Saccharomyces cerevisiae S288C: one gene and its partner. The gene in region 1 interacts genetically with each later gene. Each region holds a gene or a part of one and is shown in the gene's direction. Other genes may lie near its edges. The genes, in order: PDC5 and ATP5.

Region 1 (4,232 bases):
GAATTGCAGATTTTGGCTAGGCTTTCATTGAAAAATATAGGTCCTTCCCTTTACGGCTGTTTTGTAAACGGTAGATTTGAGCAGTTTCTGGAGAATTCTAAGACTTTAACAAAAGACGACATTAGAAACTGGAAGAACTCTCAAAGGATTGCAAGGAGAATGAAGGAGTTACATGTAGGTGTTCCTCTCTTGAGTTCAGAAAGGAAGAACGGGTCGGCTTGTTGGCAAAAGATTAACCAGTGGTTGCGCACGATTGAGAAAGTCGACCAATGGGTGGGGGATCCTAAAAACATTGAAAACTCTTTATTATGTGAGAATTGGTCCAAGTTTATGGATATTGTCGATAGATATCACAAGTGGCTTATTTCTCAAGAACAGGGTATAGAGCAAGTCAACAAAAATCTTATATTCTGCCATAATGATGCCCAATACGGCAATTTACTTTTCACTGCTCCTGTGATGAACACACCGAGCCTATACACTGCACCTTCGTCTACATCATTGACTTCCCAATCAAGTTCCTTATTTCCTTCGAGCTCCAATGTCATTGTAGATGATATAATCAACCCGCCAAAGCAGGAGCAAAGCCAAGATTCCAAATTGGTCGTCATTGATTTTGAATATGCAGGTGCCAATCCCGCCGCATATGATTTAGCGAATCATCTTTCCGAGTGGATGTATGATTACAACAATGCTAAGGCCCCACATCAGTGCCACGCTGATAGATATCCCGATAAAGAACAGGTTTTGAATTTCTTATACTCTTATGTTTCGCATCTAAGGGGTGGTGCTAAGGAACCCATAGATGAAGAGGTTCAAAGACTCTATAAGTCAATCATTCAATGGAGACCCACTGTACAACTATTTTGGTCGCTCTGGGCCATCCTACAAAGTGGTAAATTAGAGAAAAAAGAAGCCTCCACTGCCATCACTAGAGAAGAAATTGGACCCAATGGAAAAAAATATATCATCAAGACTGAACCCGAATCCCCTGAAGAAGACTTTGTTGAAAATGACGACGAGCCTGAAGCTGGCGTCAGCATTGACACGTTCGATTATATGGCTTATGGTCGTGACAAGATTGCGGTCTTTTGGGGCGACCTCATTGGCTTAGGCATAATCACCGAAGAAGAATGCAAAAATTTCAGCTCTTTCAAGTTCCTCGATACTAGTTATTTGTAATACGTATACGAATTCCTTCAACAAAGGCCAAGGAAATAAAGCAAATAACAATAACACCATTATTTTAATTTTTTTTCTATTACTGTCGCTAACACCTGTATGGTTGCAACCAGGTGAGAATCCTTCTGATGCATACTTTATGCGTTTATGCGTTTTGCGCCCCTTGGAAAAAAATTGATTCTCATCGTAAATGCATACTACATGCGTTTATGGGAAAAGCCTCCATATCCAAAGGTCGCGTTTCTTTTAGAAAAACTAATACGTAAACCTGCATTAAGGTAAGATTATATCAGAAAATGTGTTGCAAGAAATGCATTATGCAATTTTTTGATTATGACAATCTCTCGAAAGAAATTTCATATGATGAGACTTGAATAATGCAGCGGCGCTTGCTAAAAGAACTTGTATATAAGAGCTGCCATTCTCGATCAATATACTGTAGTAAGTCCTTTCCTCTCTTTCTTATTACACTTATTTCACATAATCAATCTCAAAGAGAACAACACAATACAATAACAAGAAGAACAAAATGTCTGAAATAACCTTAGGTAAATATTTATTTGAAAGATTGAGCCAAGTCAACTGTAACACCGTCTTCGGTTTGCCAGGTGACTTTAACTTGTCTCTTTTGGATAAGCTTTATGAAGTCAAAGGTATGAGATGGGCTGGTAACGCTAACGAATTGAACGCTGCCTATGCTGCTGATGGTTACGCTCGTATCAAGGGTATGTCCTGTATTATTACCACCTTCGGTGTTGGTGAATTGTCTGCTTTGAATGGTATTGCCGGTTCTTACGCTGAACATGTCGGTGTTTTGCACGTTGTTGGTGTTCCATCCATCTCTTCTCAAGCTAAGCAATTGTTGTTGCATCATACCTTGGGTAACGGTGACTTCACTGTTTTCCACAGAATGTCTGCCAACATTTCTGAAACCACTGCCATGATCACTGATATTGCTAACGCTCCAGCTGAAATTGACAGATGTATCAGAACCACCTACACTACCCAAAGACCAGTCTACTTGGGTTTGCCAGCTAACTTGGTTGACTTGAACGTCCCAGCCAAGTTATTGGAAACTCCAATTGACTTGTCTTTGAAGCCAAACGACGCTGAAGCTGAAGCTGAAGTTGTTAGAACTGTTGTTGAATTGATCAAGGATGCTAAGAACCCAGTTATCTTGGCTGATGCTTGTGCTTCTAGACATGATGTCAAGGCTGAAACTAAGAAGTTGATGGACTTGACTCAATTCCCAGTTTACGTCACCCCAATGGGTAAGGGTGCTATTGACGAACAACACCCAAGATACGGTGGTGTTTACGTTGGTACCTTGTCTAGACCAGAAGTTAAGAAGGCTGTAGAATCTGCTGATTTGATATTGTCTATCGGTGCTTTGTTGTCTGATTTCAATACCGGTTCTTTCTCTTACTCCTACAAGACCAAAAATATCGTTGAATTCCACTCTGACCACATCAAGATCAGAAACGCCACCTTCCCAGGTGTTCAAATGAAATTTGCCTTGCAAAAATTGTTGGATGCTATTCCAGAAGTCGTCAAGGACTACAAACCTGTTGCTGTCCCAGCTAGAGTTCCAATTACCAAGTCTACTCCAGCTAACACTCCAATGAAGCAAGAATGGATGTGGAACCATTTGGGTAACTTCTTGAGAGAAGGTGATATTGTTATTGCTGAAACCGGTACTTCCGCCTTCGGTATTAACCAAACTACTTTCCCAACAGATGTATACGCTATCGTCCAAGTCTTGTGGGGTTCCATTGGTTTCACAGTCGGCGCTCTATTGGGTGCTACTATGGCCGCTGAAGAACTTGATCCAAAGAAGAGAGTTATTTTATTCATTGGTGACGGTTCTCTACAATTGACTGTTCAAGAAATCTCTACCATGATTAGATGGGGTTTGAAGCCATACATTTTTGTCTTGAATAACAACGGTTACACCATTGAAAAATTGATTCACGGTCCTCATGCCGAATATAATGAAATTCAAGGTTGGGACCACTTGGCCTTATTGCCAACTTTTGGTGCTAGAAACTACGAAACCCACAGAGTTGCTACCACTGGTGAATGGGAAAAGTTGACTCAAGACAAGGACTTCCAAGACAACTCTAAGATTAGAATGATTGAAGTTATGTTGCCAGTCTTTGATGCTCCACAAAACTTGGTTAAACAAGCTCAATTGACTGCCGCTACTAACGCTAAACAATAAGCTAATTAACATAAAACTCATGATTCAACGTTTGTGTATTTTTTTACTTTTGAAGGTTATAGATGTTTAGGTAAATAATTGGCATAGATATAGTTTTAGTATAATAAATTTCTGATTTGGTTTAAAATATCAACTATTTTTTTTCACATATGTTCTTGTAATTACTTTTCTGTCCTGTCTTCCAGGTTAAAGATTAGCTTCTAATATTTTAGGTGGTTTATTATTTAATTTTATGCTGATTAATTTATTTACTTTCGTATTCGGTTTTGTACCTTTAGCTATGATCTTAGCTAATTGAAGAGGGTGGTGTGATCTTTAACCATACCTTATTATCTTTCAGCTGCTTACCATTTTCTTATATTGATTTTTAGCGAAAGATTTTTATTCACAAGCTTTTTTTATCCTTAATGCTCGAATACTACAACAAAACAAAAAACATTAAACAGTTTTTAATTTTGTGAACAAACTGAATTACAAGGCCTTACATCTTATTTAGAATATATTAAGAAACAGAGGCCAACATGCCTTCTTAATTATATTGATATGGACCTCTGTCCTTCCTAAAAACGGGTTTTTGTTCGATGAAAAATCACCAGTAGAGCACCATATATGAATTTACAATCATTGTAGGGAAAAGAAAACTTGTTCTGCTTCGCCAATTGATTTCATTTCTTTTTTTCCTTTGTTTTTGTTGTATACTATTAATATGCGTAGTTCTTTGTCACTTAGTGGTTTTTTGTTTAATTTATAACGCGAAAGCTGCATACTAAAAATATAGAGATGAATGGAACTCCGAACAAGCAAGAGAGATATTATCTATCTCTGTTCC
Region 2 (3,327 bases), on another chromosome or scaffold:
TGAGCGTTGGAAATCTTTTTGTCAATTAAATCGTTTAGTAAAACACGGTAAAAATCTTCGTCATCAAAAACATATGGGTTTTCGGTAATGTCAATGGCATTGTTATCCTTTCTTCTTGGGTCATAGTTTTTCGGGATATCAAGCCCATCATCCGAATTCTCATTGTCATCAACACTATCTTTGACAACGGGAGAAATCAATTCTGGTAGCCTGCCATTAGCACAGTCTTTTTGGAAATACAAAGGCGTTATGTTTCTCCTGTTCAACTTTGTTCTTTTCATCAAACGGGACATATCGGATAATTGGTTTTCGACTTGTACATCTGCAGGTAAGTTGATAGCTTTGAATTTGTTAGATGATAAAGCAGCGTTACCTGATGCAGAAGAAACTTTGGTAGACCACTTGTTTAATACGGCAGTCCTGTACTCTTTTAGTTCTGAGTCTAAGCTATTAGTTTCTTGGTAAAGCTCTTTGAGAGATCTTTTTTTGGACAATTTATGCTTCGCCACCTCTTCATTTTGAGTGATATGATCGCCAAGTTGGAATTTTATTCTGAAATTTATCAACCGATTGAATAAATTATTGAACAGTTTTTCGTTTTCCTTCAGCAAACGCTTTGTTTCCTCTGAATCATCCATTTTAGCCTCTTCCCAGGACTCTGTAGTTAATGGGAGCTTATTTGCTGCAATTACAGCTTTTTGTAGTTTTATTCTCAAATCAATGATGTTGTCAAATAATTTTGTCTGTTGTAAAATGGAATAACCCTTCGAAGCATCTCTTTGAACTGATTGAGACAGTTTGTTAATAGCTTGTTTAGTCTCTTGTTGAATTAGTTTCGATAGTGCATGCCTTTTCTGTTGAGCCTCCTCCGTTTCACCGCCGTCCGCGTCTGATTCTTCTTCATCAATCTCTACTTCTTCATCTTCAGAATCTGTCCTGAATGAAAGAGCATCTTCCTCTTTTTCTTCTTCCTCTTCTTCTTCTTCTTCTTCGTCCTCATTCTCGGAAACTTCTTCATATAATGCTTGTCTTGAACCTTTAACACCTGTATATTTTGGATCGTTTAGTTCTAAACCTTTTTCTGCTCTTAACTTAGACTTTTCCACCTCCAAATAGTGCGCCTTCTTGGTTTCTTCTGTGTTGCTATTTCCATAGTCGCTTAAATCACTTTCTCCATTTTTTTCATTGTGTTGAAATAAAGATGCATTTTCCTCATCTTCAATATCGAAGTCTTTATTGACCGGTTTAATGGCGATATCGGAAATTTGATCCGCTAGTGATTTTTCCATCTTTTTTTGCTCTATATTTATTGGTAACAGTGCTTATTGTTACTCAATGTATGGTACGCTGCATACCTATCAAGATGCGACTACATATATACAATTATCTCATCTCATCGCGTATTGAAAAATTTTCCATCTTCTAATTTTTCAGAACCCATAAATTCGGGTAACGATCAGTGGAAAAAACTTAAATCCGCAGTAATAGGCTTGCAAAGGACCAAAGACAGCATATGCAGCAGTTAAGAAATCTAAGAATGCATTGTATATTAGAGTAGTATATGGAAAAGCTCGGACTGGGAGCCGTAAAATCTCTTTCCCGTAAGATCTGGCTGCAAACCTGGTCTACATAAATGTAGTACATTATAAGGGACTACCAAGAAATACGAAGCGCTCAGATATCTCTTAAAGTTCATTTTTTTGCCGGAATAATCTTGGTTTAGTAACTTATAAAACTACTTACGTCCAATAAATCGTTATATTTTATGCCGTCGTCATAAAGTGGACACTTTCGAGAGACGGTGCTGGCCAATAAGATGCTGATATTTGAAATATCATTTACCCGGGCCCGGGTGGGAAAAACAAGGAATTAAAGATAATGAAGTGATCTTTTGGCGAGATAGTAAAACTTTCAATTATCTAGGAACAATTTCAAACGCCAATTGTTAACTTTGTGTACAGTATTTCTAGTTTTTATCTCATTGAAAACAAAATTCAGTCAACTTGGAAATTTAAGCAGGCTACTGTGGCATTGAGATATTTTTCCGCAGAGTAAGAACCGATTAGCAAGTTACCGCATTATTTTTAAACCGTGGACAATCATGTTTAATAGAGTCTTTACCAGGTCATTTGCATCAAGCTTAAGAGCTGCTGCTTCCAAAGCTGCTGCTCCCCCACCGGTGAGATTGTTCGGTGTTGAGGGCACTTACGCAACAGCTTTATATCAGGCCGCTGCAAAGAACTCCTCTATTGATGCTGCCTTTCAATCTTTGCAAAAAGTTGAAAGCACAGTCAAAAAGAATCCAAAATTAGGTCACTTATTACTGAATCCTGCATTGTCATTGAAGGACAGAAATTCTGTCATTGATGCCATCGTGGAGACTCACAAGAATTTGGATGGTTATGTCGTTAACCTATTGAAGGTTCTTTCCGAAAATAACAGACTGGGATGTTTTGAAAAAATTGCGTCTGACTTTGGCGTTTTAAACGATGCTCACAACGGGTTACTTAAAGGTACAGTGACTAGTGCTGAACCATTGGATCCTAAATCTTTCAAGAGGATTGAAAAAGCTTTGAGCGCCTCCAAATTGGTGGGGCAAGGTAAATCTTTGAAGCTGGAAAACGTGGTTAAGCCAGAGATTAAGGGTGGTTTGATTGTAGAACTTGGTGACAAGACTGTTGACTTAAGCATTTCTACAAAGATTCAAAAACTGAATAAGGTCTTAGAGGACAGCATTTAACGTTAATAATATAGTTGGATATGCTCAACTCGTTTGATGTTACTTTCTTTGCCTCCCTCCTAATTTTTGATTCTGTTCAAATATATATTCTTTTCCGTGAATTTTTCCTAAACATCAAAATTACGTACATATACGAATAAATAAGAAACCCCTCTAAAAAGTGAATTTTTTTGTTCGAGACAACCATTTTAATCATATATATGTTCGTGTATCCAGGCAAACTTATATTAATCGCAAAAAAAAAAATTATAAGTGTATATATGGAATAAACATAAAAAATAATAAAAGAAGAAAAAAAAAAATAATGAAGAATTCTCATCAGTTTTCGAAGATTTCAAGAAAGTCCGAAGAACATTTAAGACCTTTTTGATAATTCAAGATGTGCATGCACAATAATAACCATTTCATAGTTGAATTTTGATGTATTCTTTCGTTACAAATCAAATATATAGTCAAAGTCACGCCTATACACTTAATAATATGTCTTGATGTATATAAATGGATAATAAATACAAACGTGGGAAGTCGGAGACATTGCCTTTACCCAGCAATTGAACGGGAGGTATGCAAAAGGGTTATTTCTCTTT

The links.
Region 2: mutations in PDC5 (region 1) and ATP5 together harm fitness more than expected from each alone (negative genetic interaction), as found in Saccharomyces cerevisiae (2 studies listed by BioGRID).

The regions. Positions count from the first base shown.
Region 1 is NC_001144.5:409,012-413,243, forward strand, and holds PDC5 (indolepyruvate decarboxylase 5), read left to right. Parts: upstream 1-1,711; coding exon 1,712-3,403; downstream 3,404-4,232. Other genes in the region: bifunctional choline kinase/ethanolamine kinase CKI1, read left to right, coding at 1-1,182. UniProt on the Saccharomyces cerevisiae protein: Second most abundant of three pyruvate decarboxylases (PDC1, PDC5, PDC6) implicated in the nonoxidative conversion of pyruvate to acetaldehyde and carbon dioxide during alcoholic fermentation.
Region 2 is NC_001136.10:1,057,589-1,060,915, reverse strand, and holds ATP5 (F1F0 ATP synthase subunit 5), read left to right. Parts: upstream 1-2,101; coding exon 2,102-2,740; downstream 2,741-3,327. Other genes in the region: rRNA-processing protein BFR2, read right to left, coding at 1-1,289; SUR2 (sphingosine hydroxylase), read right to left, coding at 3,316-3,327. UniProt on the Saccharomyces cerevisiae protein: Mitochondrial membrane ATP synthase (F(1)F(0) ATP synthase or Complex V) produces ATP from ADP in the presence of a proton gradient across the membrane which is generated by electron transport complexes of the respiratory chain.